7 linked regions of the Canis lupus familiaris genome follow. The protein of the gene in region 4 interacts with the protein of the main gene of each other region in a biochemical or structural test. Links are inferred from orthologs where the notes say so. Each region holds a gene or a part of one and is shown on either strand. Other genes may lie near its edges.

Region 1 (3,500 bases), on a different chromosome or scaffold from region 4:
CTGGTCAAAAACACCACATTTCCAAGGTAACTAGTAAAAGCGGGAAAGGAGTAACATGGGAGTTCTCATAAAAGGTCTTTTACTAACTAGCACCCTGTTTTGGGAGTAGAAGGGAGATGGTAGCAAAGGTGGAAAAGGCACATACCTTTTATCTTTTGTATTTAGTTCCAGCCTCTCTTTTACCAGGTATGTACATCCGAATCATCTAAGCTTTTCCAAACGTATAGGTCTCTATCTCCCCACCCTTACTCTAGTTCCAATGCTAATCAGTAGATCTAGGATAGGGCCTAAGCATGACAGGATGAAAATGTTCCCCAAGAGATTCTGATGTTCATTTCTGATTATGAATCACTGCTCCAAGCCAACCCTGTTCTAGATGACACTCAACTGAACTTCAATTGGATTAAGAGAGAAGTGGGAGGCAGAAGACAAACTGGGCTTTAAAAAATTAAGTGACCTTGGTGTGCCAAGGTCATCCTAATTTTCTTCTAGGAAGCAAGGGGACAAGCATATAACTACTTTTTGGCATTATGGACTTTTTTTTTTTTTCCAGTTTTATAAAGGATTTCCATTCCAAGGAGCTTAAAAAGGCCAGCTACACAGTCAGATCCCTCGATCTCCCTTCAAAAGCCTCACTAATCATTGACCCTCTTCTTTCCCTGAGGTACTCACCTCCAATGGTGCTCTCCTGGTACTCATGAAACTGCCCTTTGACAAAACGTAATACCAGGCTAGACTTCCCCACTGCAGATTCACCCAGCAGGACCAATTTGAACTGGCATATTTTGCTGGCCTGGGGCTGCCCATTGGGCCTGGCTGTGCTTCTGCTAGTCATGGCTAGATTATCAGAATGGGGAAGGGTAGAGGGAGGGGGATGCCACAAAGCGGCAAAGGGGGGAGGGGGGAAGGGGAGGGGACTTCAGGCTTCAACAATCCTGCAAGAAAAAAAGTAGGTAAAATTAAACACAGGGACATTGCAGCTGCAATTAATTTTAGAGAAAAGATAAATCTCTTCATTTCTTTGCTTCTATGAGGACTTAGCAATTAAAATCATCCACCATTAAAAGGTTATCCCACTGAGAGGGTCCCAGGCAGCTGACACTCCGTGGCAAGAATGGGAAACAATAAAATAAGAATTGCATCTGAAGTGGAGTTTGCCCTACTACATAATCCTCAATTGCCAAGGGAGCTGAAATGGAGAGATGGAAAACTGTTATATGTTTATTTCCCATTAATTCCTCATCATTTTTTTTTTTTTTTTAATTCATGATAGAGGGATCCCTGGGTGGTGCAGCGGTTTGGCGCCTGCCTTTGGCCCAGGGCGTGATCCTGGAGTCCCCGGGATCGAATCCCACGTCAGGCTCCCGGTGCATGGAGCCTGCTTCTCCCTCTGCCTATGTCTCTGCCTCTCTCTCTCTCTCTCTCTCTCTCTGTGACTATCATAAATAAATAAATAAATTAAAAAAAATAATTCATGATAGACATAGAGAGAGAGAGGCAGAGACACCAGAGGAGGGAGAAGCAGGCTCCCTGCCGGGAGCCCGACGTGGGACTCGATCCCGGGGACTCCAGGATCACGCCCTGGGCCAAAGGCAGCCGCCAAACCGCTGAGCCACCCAGGGATCCCGGGAGGGACTCTTTAAGCAGACTTTAGCTGAGCCTGGAGCAGGATGTAGGGCTCTATCCTACAACCCATGAGATCATGACCTGAGCCTGAAACCATAACCCAGAAACTCAACCCACTAAGCCACCCAGGTCCCCCAGCACCACACCACCACAGGTCTTCAAAGAACAGCAAACCAAGAAGTGGGGAGGGGCAGAGTGAGAGAGAGGATCTTAAGCAGGCTGCAAGCTCAGCACAGAGTCTGATGCAGGGCTCCATCTCCCAACCCTAAGATCATGACCTGAGCTGAAACCAAGAGTTGGATGCTTAACCAACTGAGCCATCTAGGCACCCCAAACCAAACAACTTTTAGTTGGCCTGAAGAACACCCAGATGCACCCATACATGCCCTAAGTCCCCAGTAGCTCATTAGTATCCTGGTACTGTTCTTCCCCCCACTCCCATCTTTTTTTCTAGCTTTCAAAATGGAAGATTCACTACAAGGGTATGGGATTAGTCACCCCTCCCTAAGAGCAGAGGGGTAGCTTCTGGTTCCATATCCTTCATCTATAACCAGTCTTCTTGATATTTCTGAATCTCTAACCAGGGTCCATTTGCCAGAAAAGCTGTCCTTTCTCGTTTCTGGCCAAAGGTGAGTAGAAAATAGAAAAATAGACCATAGAAGTGCCTGAGTGGCTCAGTCAGTTAAGCATCTGCCTTTGGCCTAGGTTATGATCTCAGGGTCCTAGGATTGAGCCCCACATCGGGCTCTCTGCTCAGTGGGGAGCCTGTTTCTCCCTCCCCCTCTGCCTGCTTATGTGCTCTGTGAAACAAATAAATAATAATTAAAAAAAAAAAAAAAAAAGGACCACAGACAACCAACAGACCACATTCAGCATCAACTCTTCCACTTTGTCTTGCTACCTCTCCAAGTCTGAAAATCTATTAGAATAAGAATCGGTAGGCTTGGCCTACTCTCAACTTGCAGCTGTCTTCCTGGTGTCGAGGGATTGGATTACCCTCCACACTAAATGGGCCTAACAGCTGTAGGCCTCCAAATTAGAGGCAAAGAAAGAGCATGTACCTTCTAAACACATGTAGGAGTCTCCAGAGGATGATGTAGGGGTAAGTTTTCTTGTTTTTTGTTTGTTTGTTTGTCTTTTTATTTTTTATTTTATTTTTTTGTTTGTCTTAAAGATTTTATTTTAGAGAGAGATAGCGTGAGTGGGGGTGGGGCAGGCAGAGGAAAAGGGAGAGAGAGAGAATCCTAAGCAGACTCTGCCCTGAGTGTGGAGGTAGACATGGGGCTTGATCCCAGGACCCTGAGATCATGACCTGAGCTAAAATCAAGAGTCAGATACTTAACAAACTGAGCCACCCAGGTACCCTGTAGGGATAAGCTTTCCAGCAGGAAACACTTGATGAAAATAAACTGAGCTACCTTCTTTACCTTTCAAGGGGCTTGGAAAGCTGATGGTGAAGGAAGAGCCAGAGAGACGTTGAGACTTTGAAGGTCTAATTATCCAACCCTGAATATAATTTATATTTCATCATTCTGACTCTGAGGGGAAATGAACCACCAAAGGAGTTAATATGATCAGAGCATGTAAAAACCTCTGTCCAAAACCTAAGCATTGCTTGGGTTGTACTTTGTTCAAATGAATCTTTCCTTTCTCAAAGGTTGATTCTAGTAACAATCTGCAATTCTAGTAAAGCTGGGAAACACAGTGAAGTCCAATTCACTGGGTGTATTTTACAGTTGTGCTACTAGCTCTGAAGCTTTGAGGAAGTTACTAAATCTGTGCATTCATTTCATCTGTAAAATGGGATAATAGCCTTATGAGCTCTTATGAAATGATAATTATAATAGAAATGAATGGAAGTATTTAACAATAAG
Region 2 (2,661 bases), on a different chromosome or scaffold from region 4:
AAGAGCGACGTGGCGTCTGCTTACGAGGAGAGGCACAGCGTGATTTCCGTCCGCTGCATGCCGGTGGCGCCCTCCTCCGAGTTTCACATTCACGGGCTGCGAAGCTGCACAGCGACCGGGGGAACGCGCGTCCATCTCAACACGGCAGGCTGTACGGAGTGAGTCTGGCATCGAAATATCTCAGTCCCTAAAGTCAAGTGAAAACTTACACACACCACTGAGGGCTCACCAGCAGGATTTTTTTTTAGGGTTATTTATTTGACAGAGAGAGAGAGAGAGCGCTCAAGTGTGCACACGAGTGTGGGGAGGAGCAGACGGAGGGTCTGAAGCCGACTCCCCACCAAGCAGGGAGCCCGATGCAGGGCTCAGCCCCACGACCCTGAGATCATGACCTGGGCTCAGTGCCAGCCACGTAACCAACTGCGCCGCCCAAGCTCCCCTCGTAAGAATTTGTGTGTGTGTGTGTGAGAATTTTTGATTAAGAATCTGCTCAGTCAGAATGAGAACAGGCTCCAGACACGGAGTCTCAGGACCGCCGGGTGAAGACCGCCCCCACTCAGGAGAGCGAGAGCCCCGTGCGTCAGAGACTGCGTGCCGCCTACAGGGCCCTTTACTAGAGAATTTATTTGCTTCTAAGACCGTCAGACCGTAATTCCTGTCTTCGAGTCGAGGGTTCAAGGCAGAGGCGGAGGCGCTCACTGGTCTTTGAAGCTGGCCTTTCTCTTTTCCACAAACGCGGTCATCCCTTCCTTCCGGTCTTCCTGGTGGGAGAAGGAAAATAGGTAGAGATGGACGTTCCCGGTTTCCTACGGGCGGAGGCACGGGCTCGGCCCGTTCTGGGTTTGCTCTCGGTCTGCTGGGCTCCTCTGACAGATTCCCAGGGTGGGGAGGGTCCTGCCCCGGGACTGCCTGCGCACCTGCGCATGGCCTGGAACCCCGGCCACCGGAGCCCCCAGGGGTGATCATCCAAGAACCACCGCTTCGTGTGTCAAACTCTCACCCAGGGAGCCTCAGACGCACCTGCTTGGGCCGTTCACTAATTCGCTCCCTGGGTTTAGTGGCGGTCCGCGTGGAGGACCATCCTGAGCGCCATGGAGCAGGACACAGGCGTGCAAGCCCTAGCCCTACACCTTCCCTGCGCGTACGCACGAGCGTGCACATGGTCACACGCACGCCTTCACTTCCTCGAGGGCCACGGCCGTTTCCGAGCTCCCATAAAACACACCTGTCTAGGACTCTAATCGCGGCAGGTGGGTTTCAACACCTGTTACTAGAAGGACTGCCTCTCGCTTACTGTCAAATCCTGCAGGACACTGTTCTGAAGCCTCAGAACACAGCATTAGATACATTCCAACTCCACGCCAAGTCGTTGGAACGATCTAGAAAATTACGGCAGATGGATTGCCTTTAAATACAGGAGGCTGCCGTTTAAGGGCGCGATTCCTGATTCCTGAGACCTTGGTCAAGGATGTAACGCTTCATACTTTGGGCAGTTATTTGCTAATTGTGCTCGTGGGCAGGACGCATCTGATCCAGCTGCAGGGCGGCAGACAACTCATTTACCGCAGCCCTACGGGGACCTCCCCGGCGCGCTCTCTGGCTGGGCCCCGCGTCCATCCACCCCGACGCTCACTCACAGTAGCGAAAGTCGCGTAGAAGAGCTTCTTCTCCAGCCTGTTTCCCTCCGTTAGCGTCATTTCAAAAGCTGAAAAGAAATCCCTTAGGTTATGACCCAGGGGCAGATGTGGGAACAGACAACTCTTCATGGGGACAGGAAACACTCCCCACTGACCCAATCAGCCTCGATTTTGTCGTGATATTGTGACCTACACGGTCGCCTACGAAGACCCCCCCCCCCCCGCCCCCTGCCCCCGGCTTCCCGCCGGCGGCCCCACAGGAGAGGAACAAGGAATGGAGTCAAGAGTGCGACGGCCAACTCTGTGCAAGCACAAGAGGACTGGAGGGCCAAGAGAATCACATACTACTTATTAGTTTTTAAAATGTTATGTTGAGAGAAACTGTGAGCGTGTACAAGCAGGCGCAGGGGCAGCGCGAGGGGCACAGTCACAAGCAGACCCCCGCTGAGCACGGAGCTGGAGCTGGAGCTCGGCTCCCGACCTGACATCACGACCTGAGCCAGGAGTCAGATGCTCTGTGGGCTGAGCCACCCAGGTGCCCCCCCAGAATTACATATATTTTAAAAAGCATTAAAAAATGAGAATGAAGGGGCAGCCCGGGGGGCTCAGCAGTTTAGCGCTGCCTTCAGCCCAGGGCGTGATCCTGGAGACCTGAGATCGAGTCCTGCGTCAGGCTCCCTGCATGGAGCCTGCTTCTCCCTCTGCCTGTGTCTCTGCCTGTCTTTCTTCTCATGAATAAATAAATAAAATTAAAAAGAAAATGAGAATGAAGGATGAAAACCGTAAAAAACGTTGTGCCATAACAGAGTCCTGGGCGGGCAGGGCACTGTGGCCCCGGGAAGGCGAAGTGGTGTCCCTGGCTGAGCACCTGGACGGACAGCAGGCGCCTGGACAGCACAAGCAGCGGGGGCCGCCCCCGCGTGAGCTAACTGCTCATTCTGTGGGGACGCATCACCCACGGCGGTTCAGCCAAGGCCAGCAGCCCGGGGGGCCCGCCCGCCTCCCTGCAGAGGAGCCGCAGACC
Region 3 (4,160 bases), on a different chromosome or scaffold from region 4:
AGGCTGGGAAGAAGTAGCCCAGTCCTTCCAGCTCCCAGAGAGTCTGTAATTCTTTTGCCTCTGCTCTGCCTTAAATTAGAGGTCTGTGAAACCGAATTATAGTGATCCAGAAAGTTCGTAAAGGTCCTTTGAATTGAACATGTTGTTAAATTCTTCAATACTATGAGGTTGTGTCCACCTTTCACTTCTGCCTCCCATTCCACTTGGTTATAGTATTACAAAGCAGTTTGGTACTGCGAAAAATGTCTTGGCCACTTGAGAATACCGTAGCTGAATTAGGCCAATTCCACACTTAACATCCAGGCCAAGGCTTCCATGCCATTTCTGAAATGATCATCCACTTCCTTCTATCGATAATTTTCTTTCTGCACAGGAACCTCACATTGACACCAGATGTACCTTCCGAAGAGGACCCAATTAACAAAAACCATTTGGCTAACTGGGAACTGATCTGAAGAACCACCACCAGTATCTGATCTACAGTGGGCGCACTCCTGATAGAAGTGTGCCATGCTAGTATCTTTTAGTTTCTCAACTCAGAAACTTGCTTTACTAGGACAAAGCTACCTTCAGAGTGAGGAAAAAAAAAAAAAAAAAGTAGAAAAGAAACCTGATTTACTTTAGACCCTAAGGTCCAAAGATAAGATCACTATAATACCATCTTCTTCATGAAACCTATCTCCCAGAGAGATCATTGCCATTTCTGAACTCCAACTGGGACATTTCTTTTTACTATCTATACAATAATCTTGTATCATCATGATTTGCATACGTGCTTTCTAAATGGTAAGTTCCTTGAAGGAAACAGGTACATTTTAAATATTTTTGTATGCCCCCAAATCCTATGCACTACATTATCTATCTATCTATCTATCTATCTATCTATCTATCTATCTATTTAAAATCTCATACATCCACATACATGAATATGTACAGATACCTACACACATACACATACATATTTATACATCTATTAAACCGAATTGAATAAATAAGTGTATACCAAATACAAAGTAACTGATGCCAGCTCTTTAATACATCAAAGCTTGGAATGCCCATTCGAAGCTGTTATGTCTAAGAGATTGTAGGTTTTCCCTCTATTAAGGAACATCTGCACTTCATAATGCCAATTCCTACGTTCTTCAGCACTCTGAGCTTTCCAGAGTCCCATTCTCCCCTAATGGTCAAGGAAAACACAGCCTTACTTTGAACTCTTGAGAATATATATCACCTCCTTCTTGGTCTGAGATGTATGATTCTCATCAGGAATTAAAAAGGGATTCAACAAAAAGCCAAAAAAAAAAAAAAAAAAGGGCAGAAAGCTTATGAGACACTTTAATTTCACCAGATCTTACCCATGCATGTAGTCTTACTCACCTATACCTAATTCACCTCTTCCCTCCATACATCCTCATATGGCATATGCTTTCTCTATAGGGAAGGATTTGTTCTGAAACAAGTGACTTAGGGTCCTAGAGACACCTGACAACACCCCCTTAGCTCTCTAATGCCATGTCAGAAATTTTTAAAATCCCCTCCCCAGAATGACATTAGGGCTGCAAAACACAACTGTGTAAAAAAAAAAAAAAAAAAAAAATCAAGAAAATGAAAAAAAATTAAAAACAACCATAACCCTGAATTTCTGACTTAGTATAGATGTCTAAATACATGAAATTATACATTTAAAAGATTTTATTATGATTTTCAACAAAACGGTGCAGTCCCCTCTTGTTGGTATAATGCTTAAAAGTACAGTTTTTCTCCCCATATTTTCCCCCAAGATGCAAAGCATCTCCCAAATGGGGAGACATAAAACATCTATGTCCTCACTGCTGCTTCTAAATACTGTGAGCCAATAAGCAATTGGTGTACAGTGCAAAATCTCAGAAGAGAAAGACTTCTCGTCTGCTTTTTTTTTTTTTTTTTGGTAATATGTTATTATTCACACTTCACCTTTACTTCCTTTAAAAATCAAAAGTTGCTTAATGTTCAAAGCGATATCAATGGAAATTTAGCTAAAAACAGGCACCGCAACGGTTTATTCCCAAAGGAATATAAGATTACATTAATTTCCTACTAGTTTAACTCAACTTTTACCTTTCATCTTCACCTACGGACTTTTTAAAAGTTTGTATTCCTGTTGCACATAAAATTACTTATAATGTGTGTGCATACTAAAGAATTTTACAATTATATAAAGCACTGCACATTTAGACGCTACCAACCTGCTCTATCTCTCCTGACTGTGCAAAAGGCAAAAAGAGCTCAGTAATCCTAGCAGAAGAATGCAAATAACGTCAATGCACAGCTGAACTGCAAGCCCTGCCTTACAGGAACTCTCTGTGTCTGCAAAAAAAAGACACATACTAAACAGGAAATGCAACTGAGCTGTGGAAAACCTCAAACTTAAAAATGCAATCGCCAGGCGAAAATTGCATCCATGCATTCATAAATGCATGCACAACCCTTTGCATTTTTGCAAGTAATGCAAATAGCCTCTTACCTTTCGACTGAGACATTTTCCCCTTTCCTTTGATGGGGGAGGGGAGCACAAAAGACTTTGCCTTGCTTCTCTTCTGTAGCTAGTTTTGCAACAAAGATGCAAGCTGCAGGCGTGCAATCTTCATGCAAGTGGAGTTTCTCTTGACCGATGCAGCAGATGGACTTTCAGGGAATCAAGATGTAAATGCACACCTTGCAAAACAGACTGGAAAGTGATTTTTCCCCCAGTTGCAACGTTAGGGAAGGCTGTGCTGCAGCTACATGATGGGCCAGGGCTGGCAGCTAAAAGCTCCAAACTTGGAACTGAGTATCTTAGTGCGCAGACGTCCTTCCTGCGAAGGGCGCAGGGGCCGCTGGGTAATGTAGTTCCGAGCAGAGTCCACGGGGCTCGGATTTAAGGAAACGTGGTCGCTCGGGTCGCTGAGCGGGAGGACTGGGTGCACCCAGATAAACAAGTCAGACATGCAGTCGGTAGTGAAGTGATGAGGCCAGAAACGGCGGGGCCAGGGCGAGGGAGCATTTTTGTTACGGAAAAGCCCCTGAAACAACAACAGTTGAAGAACATTAGGTTAGCTGAAAAGCATTTGGCTCGCCGAGAAGGTTGGCTTGGCTGTTTCGTGCTTGCAGGGCAGCACCTGTTGCAGTGTCCTTGCCCGTAGACGTTTTACCCCCACACCTCCATTTTTTTAGAACAGTTTTCTCGCATGGAGCATTGGTTGGTGATTTGGCCTGGTTTAGAGGTAAGGTGACCCCTGGCAACTGAAGAGAGAAGATGCAGAGTTTTTACTAAGAAATGATCCGGGTCGGTTATTTTCAAGAAACCTGAAATTCATTCATTCCTGGGGGTTGGGGGGATGGGAGGGCGGATAGTTCTCATTTCTTGAAGGGTTAAAGAGGAAGTGCTGCTTTTTAGGTGTCCAAGCTAACTGTATCAGAGTTAAAATGTTTAGTTGTTTTTTTTTTTTTTTCTCACCTGATGGAGGAGGAAAGTCCCTGGTGTAAGGGAGAAACGGGGTGGTAATCTTAAGCAAATCAGGTATCTTGAATTTAGTCGACAAAATTAACAGGTATTTGTTGAGCTTGGATGGGCCAGCCTCCTTTCTAGGGTCTTGGGGCATCCACTTGTCATGTGTTGTTCATGGCTAGGGGATGGGCAGCAATATGGTAGACAGAGCCACCCCCTACGCAAGGAAGCCAGAGATGCGCAGGGTGATTCCATGCAAGGAATGAAACCGAGTCTGGGGGCATGGGCTGAAATGAGCTCAGACTTCTGCTTTACTGAGTAGACCAGACTCAGAAATGTGCTTTCAAGGTAGAGTGGGGGAAATGGAGGATTGTAGGCATCTGAGACCCTAACAAGCAGGGTAAGGAAATGAAGACAGCCTATTCAGGAGACACTAAGGATACCATGTTGCTTGTATGCAAAAGTGGTGGTGGACAGAATGTGTAGGTGAGGACTGTGCTGGGCGGTAAAGGCCAACTAGGGGGTTGGACTTTATTCAGCAGGTACTTGGGAGGTGAAAGGCTTTGGGGGGGGGGGGGCGCTTAACAGAATCAAAGCATTGTTTTCAGAAAATTTGTCCTCAGCTATCTCCATGAATGGAAACTCTCGGAGGGTCTAGAGATAGGTCAGGTCAGTAGTGGGAAATTAAAAAGGG
Region 4 (3,500 bases):
ATCACTATTTTCCTTTCTTAAGTAATTCAAGTAGTGGTAAACCAAACAGTAATTACATACATAAAACAAATCATTTACTATACCTTTGAAGTGTCAAATGTAGTGTTTTCATTAAAAATAAATGTTACATTTCAGTAGAGAGTGTACACAAGAAGCAAAAAAATTAATACATTTATCATAAACCAAAGTTATTTTGACAATTAAAACATATAATAGATGGTGAATTTCCAGTTTAGGTTTACCTGCTTGGAACCAGCAAATATTCTTCTCCTATTGGCAAGGCAATCTGGAATTTTTCTAGCAGTTTAAAATACTGTGACATGTAGTTCTTTGGAAATCTCTTTTTCTTTGAAAGAAATTTTTCCACATCTCTACGTGAAATGATTCCCTTAGGATGTTTTGGATAGCCTTCCACTTTCACTGTCAAAATCTGAAAGATTTAAACTCGTAAATAATCACTAGAATTCATTCTCTGAAAAGTGTTTAATTTAAAGCATTTTGTGTCTCTTTGCTATTGATATGATCAAAACAATTTAATGTTGTCAAGTGTAACAGGGCACCTGATTTCTCTACTAGAAGCCCTGTAACCAGAAGCCCAGTAGGGCAACCATTCCTCCACAAAAAAAAAAAAAAATTAAGAGAGTGAATGCAAATCAAATATTATAGAGATCCTCTGCAATCAATGAATGTTAAACCTTCCCCAGCTCCAATTAACAAATCAATCCAACACCCTTCATCCTTATTATAGCCTCATCAACAATATATTTATTGGGAAATTATCCTCTAGACTATGTTCTCATTACAGGTTTGCCACAGGTTTGCCTTAGAAATGTTACTTGAGCATAAAGGAAAACGGTTTCCATCAATAGGAAGAGAGGCAGTATGTGGTACAGGTTAGTGATTCTTACACAAAGTAACTACAGAATTTCGCTGGACTCCAGATGGAGCCTGGATCAGTAGGTCTGAGATGAAGCTTGAGAATGTGCTTGTTTAACAAGAAACTCCGATGATTCTACTATAGAGACCATACTTTCAGCTTTGACCATCATCACAGAAGTTAAAAGTATTAACTTCAGAAGAACCCAGGTTCAAATCCATGTTCTAGTACTAGCTGCGTTATCTTGAGAAAGGTATATAATTTCCTTAAGCCACAGTTTCAATCAGATCAGATAATAAAAGTGACTCACCCTTAGACTGTCATGACATTGAAATAAGATAACATACAAAAGGCATGCAAAGTGCATATGACAATTTTTAGCTTATAGTAAGCCCTCATATGTTAGCTATTACTATCTACATATTCCTATTCATTTTACTTAGCCAAATGATTTTTTTAAGTTTGTGCTTAATTTCTTTACTCGATCTTTAGCATATAAGGGATACTTCAATAGGAGCATATATTATGTACATTATCATGTAGGTGGGTGAAATATTGGATTGTAAAATCCTTAGGTCCACGGACTTATCTCCTTTATCTCTATATCTCTGTTTGGTACATAATTATATGTATTGAATCATTATTGAATCAATGAATGCATGACTGGCTGAACACAATGGTGTCTAACAACAATGTATAAATGGGTCATTAAATAATAAAAACTGCAGTGTGGGACTTCTCCCATATTGTGCACTTTAGAGCCCAGACTGCTCTTACAAATCAGGTGGTAAGGAAAATTGGTTGCTGTTCTGGCATTTTTAAAGTTGTTAAGACCAGGGGTGCCTGGGTGGCTCAGTGGTTGAGCATCTGCCTTTGGCTCAGGTAATGATCCTGGGGTCCTAGGATCGAGTCCCACATCAGGCTCCCCTCAAGAAGCCTGCTTCTCCCTCTGCCTGTCTGTGTGTGTATGTGTCTCATGAATCCATAGTTTTTTTTAATTGTTTGAAAATAAAGTTGATAAGACCTTGTCTGACAACTCCCTCTCTATTCCAACCATATTTTGCATTTTCTTTACAGCATCTGCCACCTGACATTTTAAGTGTTTATTTATTGGTTATTTCCTCCTATTTGAATATCAGCTTCACGAAAGCAGGAACATTGTTTTATCTATGCTTATAATGCTTATCCAGCATCAGAACAACATCTGGGACACTGTAGGTCTCAAATCAATGTTGGATGAGTGAATCTGGGGAAAAGAAAGTGTAGAGCATTTTATCCTGGGGTTTGATTTAGGGGCACTGGAGTCAAACTACTTAGTTTGAAATCCCAACTCTACTTCTTCCTAAATATGTTGATTTGGATAAATTGTTTAACTTCTCTGTCCATCAATTTCTTCATCTTCAGGATGAGGACTAATCTAGTACCATTTAAAAGAGTTGCTCTGAGAATTACATGAGAAAATGTTTGAATAGCACATAAGTAACCCCTTGTATGTTAGCCATTATTATATACTCACTCTAATTTATTTTGATACTTTGACTTCATTTTTAAAATTTTCTTAAGGTTTTTTTAAGTAATGTCTATACCCAACATGGGGCTTGAACTCACAACCTGGAAGATTGAGAGCTGCAAGCTCTTCTGACTGAGCCAGCTGTGCACTCCTAGAAACATTGATTTAAAATTGGCATGTTTGTTGGGATGCCTGGGTGGCTCAGTGGTTGAGCATCTGCCTTTGGCTCAAGGCATGATCCTGGAGTCCCAGGATCAAGTCCCACATCAGGCTCCCTGCATGGAGCCTGCTTCTCCCTCTGCCTGTGTCTCTGCCTCTCTCTCTCTCTGTGGGTCTCATGAAAAAATAAATAAAATCTTTTTAAAAATTAATAAAATAAAATAGGAGTTTGTGCTTGATGTTTTTAAGTAGATCTATGGTGCACTACCACTATTTGTAGTAGATGGTTTCCAAAGACAGACACATGAATTGCTTCTCTTCCTACACAGGTGTGGTGTTTGATCTTTCATTTCTTGAAGGATCCTTGATTCCTCTTGAACCTGGATAGGCTCTATGGTTACTCCAGTCATTAGAACATGGCACAACTGACATTTTATCAGCTCTGGGCCCACCCTTTGAGAGGACTGGTCATATGAAAGACTACATGGTGGAGCACCAACATACCAAAAATGTGAGTGTAAGTTTCTTGGACTCAGCAGCTTGACTCAATGAAGGAAGCCAAGTGAATGACCCCTGCCAATGCCATGGCAGCAGAGCTGTTCCGCTGAGCATGGTCAGCCCACAGAACAGTGAGAAACAATAAAATGTTGATGTTTTACTCCAAGTTTGGGGGTATCTTGTTACATAGCAATGCAAAACTGAAATGTTATCTAAATTTTATCACCTTTGAAAGAACTCTTTATATTCCTTCTGCCTCATAATTTATAATTCCTAACGTATGCCGTTATGCAAAGAAAGAAAATTTCCCAAGTTCCTCACCCAAGTTTTTAACAAGATTACATTGCCATGCAAGCTTTTTAATGTTCCACCTGATTAATTCAGTAAGTGTCCTTCATATCTCTTTTATCATATGGTTAAATGAGTTTTTGCAAACTTCTCTGTGCAATGACGGAA
Region 5 (3,500 bases), on a different chromosome or scaffold from region 4:
GATTGGGAAACTAGGATGCTACCAAGGATAATGCATGTGATTTACTGAGCAGATATTCTCTGTAGGCACTGAAGGCTTACCATCATCAGTCATCTAACAGTCCTATAAACTAAGTATGATTAGCCTTACCTACAGGTGGAAAGGCCCAGCGAGATAAAGTAACTAGCCTCAGGTCACACAGTGGTACAACTGGGGTTTGCCAGGCAAGCATAGCCTATTTGAAAGCCAGTTATCTTTTCACACCATTTCCCTGAATGGTGAGCAGGTCCTCCAGCATCAGAGAGACAGCTTTCCTATGCCTGTTCCTCCTCCTCAGAAGCACCCTGCAGCCGGGCATAGATGTGTTCCTTGTGATTAGGCCTCCCCATAGTTGCAGGCCACTGCCTGACACCTGTAGGCAGAGGCCCTACACTGTAGTACATGTCACTTTGTGCATCTTTGGTCGATGCACCCTTGTGGGAATGTGTGTCCCACTCTGAAGCTTCTAGAAAGATTTAAACCATGCACTTCAACATACTAAAGAGATATTATTATTTGCCTTTATGACATCTGTTGAGCAAAAAAGGCCATTTTCTCTTTTTCCTCTGAAACATGTTAAAAGTCCGTATCATTCTGTAATCACCATATTTTAACCTCTCCCCATCCTTGCAAATCTGCTGGACACTCTACTTCATGAACATGAGACTGTGAATGGTAGTTGGAGTGCGTGGAGTACATTAGTTGGCCATACCTTTCCACTTTCCTCCTATCTTCCCTCATTTCTTTCCCACTTCTTGCATCTTAAACTGCTCACTGTTCTCAGGACACATGATATTTCCTCCTTCCAGACCTTCTCAAGCTCTTAAACTCTTTCTTCTGGAAAGAACTGTTCATCTGGAAATGACTCTAAGCTGTCTTTTCTCCCTCTCCATAGGCCTTTCTGTGGGCAGGTAGACTCCTCCCCACTCCCCATCTCCATCCCCATGTCCCCGTAGCATTCTGTGTGTCTCCATAACAACACTCACCACGGTTTATGGTTTACGATCCTCAGTTTACCTTCTGTCTCCCTTCCAACTATAAGCTGCTTGAGGGCAAGAATGGTGTCGTATGCGTCTTCATGTTCAAGAGTGCACATTTGCAAAGTGAGCTCTGAATAAATAAGGAAGAGGTGAGGGATGGAGACAGGATGAAGAGGGCAAGGATCTGACCACAGAGGGACATCACAGAAATGTAGAGACATACACAGAGAAGGTGGCTTTGCATTAGGAGCTTTCCTGGATGTTAATTGCTTTTCTGTTTGCTTCTTAATTGGCTCCATGCTCCTATTCCCCCCTTCCTTGTCTTTTTAACACAGAATAAGACAAGCTTCATCTCAACCTAGAAGGGAATATCAGCCTAAACCGCGAATGAGCCTGGAGTTTACAACTGGAGACAGTACTCAGCCCAATGGGGGCCTCTCCCACACGGGCACACCCAAACCTGCAGGTAAGTTGCTGAGACCTGCAGACCCCATTACACAGGCTGTGGGCACATGCCGTCGATACTTTTCCAGAAATTCTAGGTGCAGCCTGGCTGGCTGCACAAGAAACTATACAGTGATACATTTCTTACAGGATGGTTTTGTCATGTAGAAGCTCTTTTAAAGCACTCCATCCTTATTTTCCCATTGATCATTTCTTTGCCTCCTTTTCCCCCTTCTCTCCTCTAGAAATGTCCCTTTTTCTCTCACCATTATCAGCACCCATTAACCTTCTAAGTAACACAATTGATTTTGACCTCTCTTTGTGGTTTTAATTTACCATAGGTGTCAGGGGTGTCATCTTTCTTTTCTGTTTCCCCTGTGTTCCAGCCTGCTTGAGGGTGAATGCCCTGGCAGGGTGTGCCCACATGCACTCACATATAACCCATAGACAGCAACTCCAGGAACATATCAAACTGGATTTCTTAAGTCACTGGAGCCTATGGGTGACTGTACGTATAGACAATATATTTTGAATATCAACATCAGCTAGCTTTCCCTCCTTCCTCCACCTTCAACCAGTTCACTGTACCCTGGCAACTGAGGTTGGTATAGTAAAAGCTAAAATTTATTTTCTATCAATATCAATAATATTGATGTATACCCAATAATATGTTTTTTTAGTTGACACCATTGCTCTCTACCCCGTATAATACAGATTAAGGAAAAGCTTGTGCTTGAGACATTTTCAACCTTAACAATTTGTTTGGTTGAAGAAGTGGAAACTGTCTTACACTGGGCATGGACTTCAAAGAAATAAGAGTGTCTCCTATTTTCCCTGTGACCCACTGCTTGATGTTTGTAGTAGGAAATGTTTTATGAAATGCTCTCTGGAGACCAGGAAATAAAATCGTGAGCTCTGTGGTGGTAGTTGGCACTCTCCACCCTTTGTGTTCACCTAACTAGTTGCTTGAAGCTGCCCAGGGTAGGGTATAATCAGCAGTGGCTCTTACAAGTTAGCTGGCTCCGAGGACTAATCATGTAAATTGGGATTAGTTTGCTTCTCCCTATTCAGAAACCAACCACATATTTTACTCTTCTTTTGGAGACTTGGTCATTTTCTGCTTTCTTAAAGTAAAAAAAGAAAATAGATTTTAATTTAAAGTCATCAGACATGGGGGCAATATGTACTTGTCTGAGTTTACATGCCCATGTGGATGCATGCTTTATTAAATATAGATGGTCATTTAAAATAGATCACTTTTAAGATACAATTCCATTCCTCATTATCTTACTGAAGGCAGAGCGTGTTATTTTTGTGTGCCAGAACTCCCATGTACTCATCCTTATATATGCAACAGTTTACAAAGAGTAAGTTATATAATTTTTACGTAATTTCACTTGATAGCCACAATAGTATTACGGCGTAGATCCTATTAGTTATAATGCTAGGCAAAGAAACTTGAAAGGGAAGTACCTTGTATAAAGTCACCCAGAGTATGAACTCGAACCCAGTGTCTTATATTGTTTTGTTTTCACCACATTACAGCAGTTTTCCAGAGGCTGGAGTCTTTACTTTTGAAAAATGAGGACGCACAGTTATTCTGAGGTTGCTAATAAGCATTGTCCATGTAATGAACCTGACTCTTTCACATGTACAGAGATTTTAAAATGCTAACATTGAAAGCATTCTGACCATGTTCTAGTAACCTAAATTCCATCAAAATTCCTTAAGTCACTGGGTCTCCCATCTCTGGACATTGTCAGGAAGGCAAACCTTGGTGGACTGTGTTGCATGTGTCACCAGCATAGATGAGGCCGTTATTCATACTGGAAATGGAAGCACATATCCAGCCACTTCCAGGAATCTGAGAAAACTTCCAAAGACTCGTGAAGAGCAGATGCTATGCAGTGGACTGGGGACTAGCCTCAAGAGGAAACTTCAGCAGGAAGAGGAGTGAGGGAGGAAGCAAGGAGGATGGCGGGCTGGAAAGGTTAAGCAGGTGGTAGACTTGTGAGTTAAATGCCCCTTGTCTTTCTGTATTCTTCTCTCCTGCTTTCA
Region 6 (2,956 bases), on a different chromosome or scaffold from region 4:
AGATTTCCTGTTCCCTCCAGGCCAGCCCCAGCTCCCCACAAAGCCAAACCCCACCCAGCAAACTGGCCTGAGGCCAGGAGGGGGCTGGAGGCCCGGGGCTGCCGTTCCCACGGAGACCAGCCCGGTCAGCTGGGTGGGGCAGAGGCACCCACCTCACTCCTACCCCGCCCGCCCGCCCCGTGTTCAGTGCTGTGACCCTTACCCTCGGGGTTAGCACCGCCACTTCACCTTGTTCTCTGCGTGCGTGCGGCTGGTTCTTGTTTCTATGCTTCTGTTGTTTTTGCTTTACGTGAGAATTTTCTAGTGTAGCATTTTAATTCTTTTAATGATTATTTTTTTCATATCTTTTGAGTCATTTTCTTAGAGGCTGCTCTAGCTTAAGATGCACCATCGTGGGACGCCTGAGTGGCTCAGCAGTTGAGCGTCTGCCTTTGGCTCAGGGTGTGATCGAGTCCCCATCAGGGTCCCCGCAGGGAGCCTGCTTCTCCCTCTGCCTGTCTCTCTGCCTCTCTGGGTGTCTCATGAACAAATAAAATCTTAAAAAAAAAGATTCATCGTACTAACCCTCTGTAAACACCTCAGGGCACAGAGCACACTCACCCTGCCGCGCACCCACCCCCACCACCATCTCTAGAACCTTCCCCATCCCCAGGAAGCACTGACCCCCGCCCCCTGCCCCACCCCTGGCTCCCACCACCTCCTCCTCTGTCTCTGTGGACGGGCCTCCTCTGGGGACCTCCTGGGAGTGGGGTCCTGCAGGAGGCGTCCTTCTGGGTCTGGATCCCCTCCCTGAGCCCGGTGTCCTCGGGGTCCATCCACGTGCGGCAGGTGTCGGGCCCCTTCCTTCCCGGGGCTGGACCGTATCCCGGGTGTGGTCGTATCCCCTGGATGGACACCGGGGTGCTTCCCCCTCCTGCCCCCCGTGAGGCTGCTGCGCACCTGCGCCCGTTGGAGCCCCAGCCTTGGCTCCCGGGTCACAGCTCCATCACAGCCCAGCCCGTCCCTTGTGCCCAGTCGCGGTTACACGTCACCTGCACACCTGTTAGGGAACAGAGCGGTGCCCGGCGGTTCCGGGGCTCCGCGTGCTGAAGCCTGGCGGGTCCCCACCCGGGGCGCCTTCTCGCCCCGCCCCCGCCCCGGCTCCTCCTCCGCGCTCGGGACTCACGGCCGCCCCCCCTGGAGCTCCCATCCCGCGCGGCGCTGAGCCCGACCCCGCACACAGCACCTGGGCCCGGGGAGGGCTGCAGGAGGAGGCGGATGCGCAGGGCCCAGCGAGGGTCCCAGGTGCCCCGCCCCGCCTGCGCTGCGCCCTCCCGCCAGCAGGGGGCGCGCTCCCCCGCCCGGAAAGCGGAAGCGCGTTCGCGGACGGCGAGGGGGCGGGGCGCGCGGGGCGCACGTGATAACCGCGCAGGCGCGGAGCGGCGGCCTTTCCCGCAGAGGAACTGGCAAGATGGTGAGTACTCTGGGCTTCCGCGGCGGTTCCCGGCCCATCCGACGCCATCCGCGGCCTGGCCGCCCCGTGAGCGCCCGGGTCCGGCCGCCCGGCTGCGGCAGCCGCCTCCAGGCCCGCGGGAGCCCCGGACGTGAGGGCGCGGGGCGGGCCCGGTCCGTGCCGGGAGGACGCGGGGCGAGGCCGGTCCCCGCCGGACCCCAGCCGCCCGCAGCCGCGTGTGCGCTCCCGGGCCGGGCGCGTCGTGGCCCCGTGGGCTGCGGGGCGCGGGCCGGGTGGGCGCGGCGGCCGTGGGGCCGGCTCCCACCCGCGCTGCCCCCCTGACCTCGCTGCCCCCGCGCCCGGCCCGCGCAGGCGGAGGTGGAGCAGAAGAAGAAGCGCACGTTCCGCAAGTTCACCTACCGCGGCGTGGACCTGGACCAGCTGCTCGACATGTCCTAGTAAGCGCGGCCGGGCGGGCGGGCGGGCGGGGCGGGGCGGGGACGGGGGCGGGGGGCGCCCCGGCTCAGGCCCCCGCCTGTCCCCGCGTCCCAGCGAGCAGCTCATGCAGCTGTACAGCGCGCGGCAGCGGCGCCGGCTGAACCGGGGTCTGCGGCGGAAGCAACACTCGCTGCTCAAGCGCCTGCGCAAGGCCAAGAAGGAGGCGCCCCCGATGGAGAAGCCCGAGGTGGTGAAGACGCACCTGCGGGACATGATCATCCTGCCCGAGATGGTGGGCAGCATGGTGGGCGTCTACAACGGCAAGACCTTCAACCAGGTGGAGATCAAGGTTCGCGGGGCTGCCGGGCCACTGGGGGGTGGGTGGGGGGCGACCTGGCGGCCTGCGCCCCGTGACGCCCTCCCCTGCTCGCCCTCCGCAGCCCGAGATGATCGGCCACTACCTGGGCGAGTTCTCCATCACCTACAAGCCCGTGAAGCACGGCAGGCCCGGCATCGGGGCCACGCACTCCTCCCGCTTCATCCCCCTCAAGTAGCCGGTCGGCCAATAAAGGCACCGACTCCCGGACTCGTGTGGTCCAGCGTCTGAGCTTGCTTCCTCCCGTCGGCGCGCGCCTGGTTTCCCGCCGCGGGCGCCGGCTTGGCCCCACCTAGCTGCGGTCGGTCGTTGGCAGCCTCCTGGCATCCCCTGGGCCGAGGGAGGCGTCTGCCCTGGGGCCGTGCCCTTCTGGGGCCGCGGCTCCCCACCTCTCCCTCCCCGGGGTGGGTCCACAGCTGGAGCGGATGACTGCGGGTATTTCTGCTCAGGTGCATCCCCCTTGTCGGCACAGGGCACCCCGAGGTGGTGGATGGCCCAGACTGGGTGCTAACTGTCCGGGCAGTGGGGGCTGTAACTCGCTGACGGATCACAGGTGGGGAGACGGGAGGCGGTGCTCTGGGTTTGCCCCGAGGGAGCTGACCTGGGGACAGCAGGGAGGTGGGAAGCGAGGTGCCTTCTGTGCGCCCAACAGTGGTAAGGTGTGCGCACCCCTGGGAGCGGAGGGATGGCCAGGTGCTGAGCTGGGGCCC
Region 7 (3,975 bases), on a different chromosome or scaffold from region 4:
TGATTCATCCAAGTTATGCAGATGCAGACCGGCTGGCATGCAGTCATTCAGATGTGCAGCCCTGCTGGCAGCCAGCAGGCATTGGGGAAAGATGGCAGGACAATAGAACTAAGAGGAACGGGGTCTACATGGTGCTGCGTGGTTTACGAAGCACTTTGACGCTGTGCCATCTGTCTCCCTGAAGGAATGAGTGAATGGGACCCTGAGGAGACGTTGGAAGCTGAGCCAGGCTGTGAAGAAGCAATTCCAGGAGCCACGGGGCCAAGTTTACACCACAAATGATTGATGGAGCTTAGGAGAATAGGCTTTGGCAAAACGAAACGTGGGCAGGAAACGAACAGCCACTTAATCCCTGATCTATAAAGCAAGCCCAGAGGTACACTCAGCACCAACAGAGAATCACCTTTATCCAGTCAGTTTGTGTCTCAGGACTCAGGGGCCCAGTGCTATTCCTTCCTAAAACACTCCCCACCTCCTGTCACAGATGCACAGGGCCATATAAAATCAAGAAGCACCGTTCTACTGGCAAGGTTCCACAGCATCACTCTGTCCTCATCTCTTCCTGCATTTCATGAACACACCAAATATAATTAGGAAGTGTAAACTTTACAAGGCTAAGAATTATGAGGCCATTACTTCAAGGCCAGGATGAATTAAATTTTCTTAGAAGACAGAGACCTGCAGGAAAACTATAAATGTAATGAGAATGCCAAGGTGGGAGGAGGGAGGGATTCCGGGCTCAAGTGCGACCTGTGTCCCCAGGTGACCTGGCCCAAGTCATATCTTTGTCTGGAAGTGGAGGCCAGTCTTCTCAGAGCCCTAAAGTGCTAGACTGGGCTTTCTGGTTGAGAATTAGAAACCGAACAAAAAAGCCCAATCTCTGAATTGATCTCACTAGTGCCTGTACTGAACAGCAAGTTCCTGAGGCTGGGAAACTGAGGTCTGGGTTGAGGACGAGCCACAGCCTGCCAGGAGTTAACATCTCTTCCTGACCGGTGGGGATGGGATGCAAGGGTTGTCCCAAAGTTTGACCTTGGGGTGGTGGAAGGGGAGGAATCAGAAGCATCTGTGTCTAGGGAGGGGATGGTGTCACTGCAGGAGACATTCTGCTTCCTCCAGGCAGCCTCTGGCCATGATGACCACCTCTTATTCACTATATAGTTCTGATCCTCAACCATCCAGGGCACTGGCCAAGGCAGAAAGCATTAGTCCTAAACTGAAGGAATAGGACTCAGAGAGGCTAAGTGCTGGTTCAAGGGCAAACAACAGCTGGCAAGCAGGCATGACGATTTCCAGTGCGATTCTCTCCACTCTGCATCAGGAACATAACTGTAACGTGCAGCTCCTGGAGGAGGGCAAGGATGGAATGAGCAGCTCATCACGGGGTTCATAGAGATAAGGTGATTGGATTCAAGTTACACGGGGGTAAAGCAAAGCCTGGTGCCCAGGTTTTCCCCATTCAGAATCAACTCCTGAGCTTGGTGACCACTCTGCAGCAAGGCTGTGGAGCTCACAGGCCACGCGATTTGATCGGCGTTACTTCCAGGTCAAATGTTTTCACATGGGCAATGGCTGTTTTTGTGGCGTCGGGAGAAGTCAGCTCCACTTTTGTGGATATCAGAACTGAGAAGCAACAAGCCAATTCTGTTCAACCACAATGTGGGCTGGCCCTGTGGGAAAGGCTGTTCTGCAAAGTGACAACTGGTGTTCTGGGCCTCCAGATAGGGAAGTCAGGGCTGTCTGTGGCAGCGGCTGATTTTGGTTTGTCACTCAAGTTTTTATCTGGCATCTCCTTGGGGGTGACAGGTCCTAGGGCAGGCAGTGGTCACTCACCCTTGACACCCTCAAGTGATGGAAGTTTGGGCGGAGAAAGGCTCCAGACTCCTTCTCACCATTCCTTCTAGGAGAAATTCACCCATAGGGGAAACAGGGTCAGGGAGCCGGGCTTACCCCCTGAACATTCCAGAGGAAAGAGCAGGAGAGAGTTGGTTGAGAGTGCTGGTTCTCAGATGGACCAGCAGTGTTTGCCCTGGGGACCAGCGCTCACATCCCTCCGGCAGGATCCTGCCTTGAGCTTTCGTGTTAGACCCACATGGATTCAAATTCCACCTCTGCCACCTGCAGACGTGACCTTGGGGGAGTCCCCCGTTTCCCTGAGCTTCAAATTCCTCATGTGAGACGGGCTCATTTAGAGCACCTAACACAGAGGACTGGAAAGTGTGATAATGCCCATAAAGCGGCTAGCACACAGTAAATGCTTAATAAGGTTCAGATGTCACAGGCCTCTTCCGATGGCCTACTCCCCAAGCCTGTTTCGCTTCTGTAAGGCGGGGACCCCAAAGGAACAGCTTCGAAGGCTGCCGTGTGAACAGAACGAGACGACCGGAGCCGGGACCCCAGCCCGAGACACATACTTCCTGACAAGCAGCCTGAGGGGTGGGGCCTCAGTCCCCCCATCTGCAAAATGGGCACTTGGTTCGCCGCCTCCCCCCGCTGCCCGGTAACCCCCGGAAGGCGGCGGAGGCGGCTGCTCTCCGCCCCTCCGGCCCCCTCGACCCTCTCAGATCCCTGGATCCGTCCGGCCCAGCCGCTCCCTCAACCCCAGCCCTTCAGGGGCGCGCCCGGCCCGGGCCTCCGGCGTCCTCCGCCGCTCCCCGGCCCCGCTACCTATGGTGGAGATGAAAGTTGAGTTGAAGGCGTCCTCGGAGAAGCGGAACAGGACACAGGTCTTCCCCACCCCCGAGTCCCCGATCAGCAGCAGCTTGAACAGGTAATCGTAGGTCTTCGCCATATTACACTCTCTCCCCGACGGGAAGTGCGGCCAGCGCCTCGCCACTGGCCGCGGGCCCCGTCCATCAGCGCCGAGCCCGCCCCCTATTGGCTCCCAGCCCGCCGCGCGTCACCGCGGCCGCCGCCCGCTCCCGCGCCCCGCCCGTCGCGGGGAGAGCTGGGGAAGGGGCGAGCGAGGCGCGGTGCCGGAAGCGGCCCGAGCGCGCCGCTCATTGGTCGGCGCTCGGGACAGGGCGGGCTCCAATTGGCCAGCCCTGAAGAGTCGGGGGCTTCAAATGCAGCCCGGCGGGGGGCGTGGCCTCCCGGGTCCCCGCCTTCTTTCCCTCTCCCCCCCCCCCCCACCTCTCCCGGCTCCGGGGCGGCCCCGCCCCCCGGCGGGAGGGGAGGGCGGGGCACGTCGCCAACGGCTCCGCGCGCCCGCGGCTCGGGGGCGGGGCTTGGGACGTGCGTACGGGGCCGGGGGGATCGTTAGGCGCCAGCAGAGGGCGCGCGCGCGGCGGGCCCTGGCTCTCCCGCCCTCACGCCTGCGCAGCCTCAGTAGGCGCTGGGAAGAACGCGGGAAGGGGCCGCGCGGGTGGCCGCGTTGTGCGGCGGCTGCGGCGTCGGGCCCCGGCGCGCGAAGGGGAAGGCAGAGCCGGGGTCGAAGCGAGGTCCCCGCGAGACGTCCTCCGGGGCCTCGGCGCTGGCCAGGGGACCGCTTGGCGCTGCCGGGCCTCCGCCACCCGAGCCGCGAGGCCCTCGGACCTAACCGGAGCCTGCCCAGAGCCCGAGCGCCGGCCGCCCCGCCGCGGATGCAGCCCCGTGAGGATGCTGGGACGTGGCTCCGAGCTTGGTGTTGGCCTGCCCGAGTGGTCCGCACTGGGAAAACAACACCAGGTGGCCCCACTCCGACCCGCCGGCTTGGTACTGGGCTTCCCGCCCGTTGATGGGTTAGAAAACCGAGCTTCAGTGATTTCCCCAGGCTCCCGAATGGGGAACCGGGCCCGAGCTCAGACGCGCAGGCTTGGGAAGCCCGAGATGACCTGCGGGTCGGAGGTGGGCCGCGCCGTCGGGGGGTGCGGGCATCTACACTCGGATCTGGATCCGGGCGCGGCGGGGGGGGGGGGGGGCCGAGGGGGGAGCTTCCAGCGGAGCCGCCGCCCACCCTCCTTGCGGGTGTCTCCCGTCGCCCACGCCTGGCCCCCT

The links.
Region 1: of the proteins of LRRK2 (region 4) and RAB5B, one has a biochemical effect on the other in vitro, tested with the Homo sapiens proteins (2 studies listed by IntAct). The link is inferred for Canis lupus familiaris from reciprocal best matches to the Homo sapiens genes LRRK2 and RAB5B.
Region 2: the proteins of LRRK2 (region 4) and ECHS1 interact on a protein array, tested with the Homo sapiens proteins (2 studies listed by BioGRID and IntAct, with this or other methods). The link is inferred for Canis lupus familiaris from reciprocal best matches to the Homo sapiens genes LRRK2 and ECHS1.
Region 3: of the proteins of LRRK2 (region 4) and MAP2K6, one has a biochemical effect on the other in vitro, tested with the Homo sapiens proteins (2 studies listed by BioGRID). The link is inferred for Canis lupus familiaris from reciprocal best matches to the Homo sapiens genes LRRK2 and MAP2K6.
Region 5: of the proteins of LRRK2 (region 4) and SH3GL2, one has a biochemical effect on the other in vitro, tested with the Homo sapiens proteins (2 studies listed by BioGRID and IntAct). The link is inferred for Canis lupus familiaris from reciprocal best matches to the Homo sapiens genes LRRK2 and SH3GL2.
Region 6: of the proteins of LRRK2 (region 4) and RPS15, one has a biochemical effect on the other in vitro, tested with the Homo sapiens proteins (2 studies listed by IntAct). The link is inferred for Canis lupus familiaris from reciprocal best matches to the Homo sapiens genes LRRK2 and RPS15.
Region 7: of the proteins of LRRK2 (region 4) and RAB8A, one has a biochemical effect on the other in vitro, tested with the Homo sapiens proteins (2 studies listed by IntAct). The link is inferred for Canis lupus familiaris from reciprocal best matches to the Homo sapiens genes LRRK2 and RAB8A.

Annotation. Positions count from the first base shown.
Region 1 is NC_049231.1:669,367-672,866, reverse strand, and holds part of RAB5B (ras-related protein Rab-5B), read right to left. Parts: intron 936-3,500; 5' UTR 836-935; coding exon 673-835; intron 1-672. UniProt on the Homo sapiens protein: The small GTPases Rab are key regulators of intracellular membrane trafficking, from the formation of transport vesicles to their fusion with membranes.
Region 2 is NC_049249.1:41,450,931-41,453,591, forward strand, and holds the end of ECHS1 (enoyl-CoA hydratase, mitochondrial), read right to left. Parts: intron 1,706-2,661; coding exon 1,638-1,705; intron 762-1,637; coding exon 696-761; 3' UTR 501-695; downstream 1-500. UniProt on the Homo sapiens protein: Converts unsaturated trans-2-enoyl-CoA species ((2E)-enoyl-CoA) to the corresponding (3S)-3hydroxyacyl-CoA species through addition of a water molecule to the double bond.
Region 3 is NC_049230.1:11,084,174-11,088,333, forward strand, and holds the start of MAP2K6 (dual specificity mitogen-activated protein kinase kinase 6), read right to left. Parts: upstream 2,801-4,160; 5' UTR 2,520-2,800; coding exon 2,504-2,519; intron 1-2,503. UniProt on the Homo sapiens protein: Dual specificity protein kinase which acts as an essential component of the MAP kinase signal transduction pathway.
Region 4 is NC_049248.1:33,246,660-33,250,159, reverse strand, and holds part of LRRK2 (leucine-rich repeat serine/threonine-protein kinase 2), read right to left. Parts: intron 431-3,500; coding exon 243-430; intron 1-242. UniProt on the Homo sapiens protein: Serine/threonine-protein kinase which phosphorylates a broad range of proteins involved in multiple processes such as neuronal plasticity, innate immunity, autophagy, and vesicle trafficking.
Region 5 is NC_049232.1:37,823,448-37,826,947, forward strand, and holds part of SH3GL2 (endophilin-A1), read left to right. Parts: intron 1-1,333; coding exon 1,334-1,464; intron 1,465-3,500. UniProt on the Homo sapiens protein: Implicated in synaptic vesicle endocytosis. May recruit other proteins to membranes with high curvature. Required for BDNF-dependent dendrite outgrowth.
Region 6 is NC_049241.1:57,874,495-57,877,450, reverse strand, and holds RPS15 (40S ribosomal protein S15), read left to right. Parts: upstream 1-1,354; 5' UTR 1,355-1,450; coding exon 1,451-1,453; intron 1,454-1,804; coding exon 1,805-1,890; intron 1,891-1,984; coding exon 1,985-2,219; intron 2,220-2,310; coding exon 2,311-2,424; 3' UTR 2,425-2,456; downstream 2,457-2,956.
Region 7 is NC_049241.1:46,760,030-46,764,004, forward strand, and holds the start of RAB8A (ras-related protein Rab-8A), read right to left. Parts: upstream 2,801-3,975; 5' UTR 2,792-2,800; coding exon 2,668-2,791; intron 1-2,667. UniProt on the Homo sapiens protein: The small GTPases Rab are key regulators of intracellular membrane trafficking, from the formation of transport vesicles to their fusion with membranes.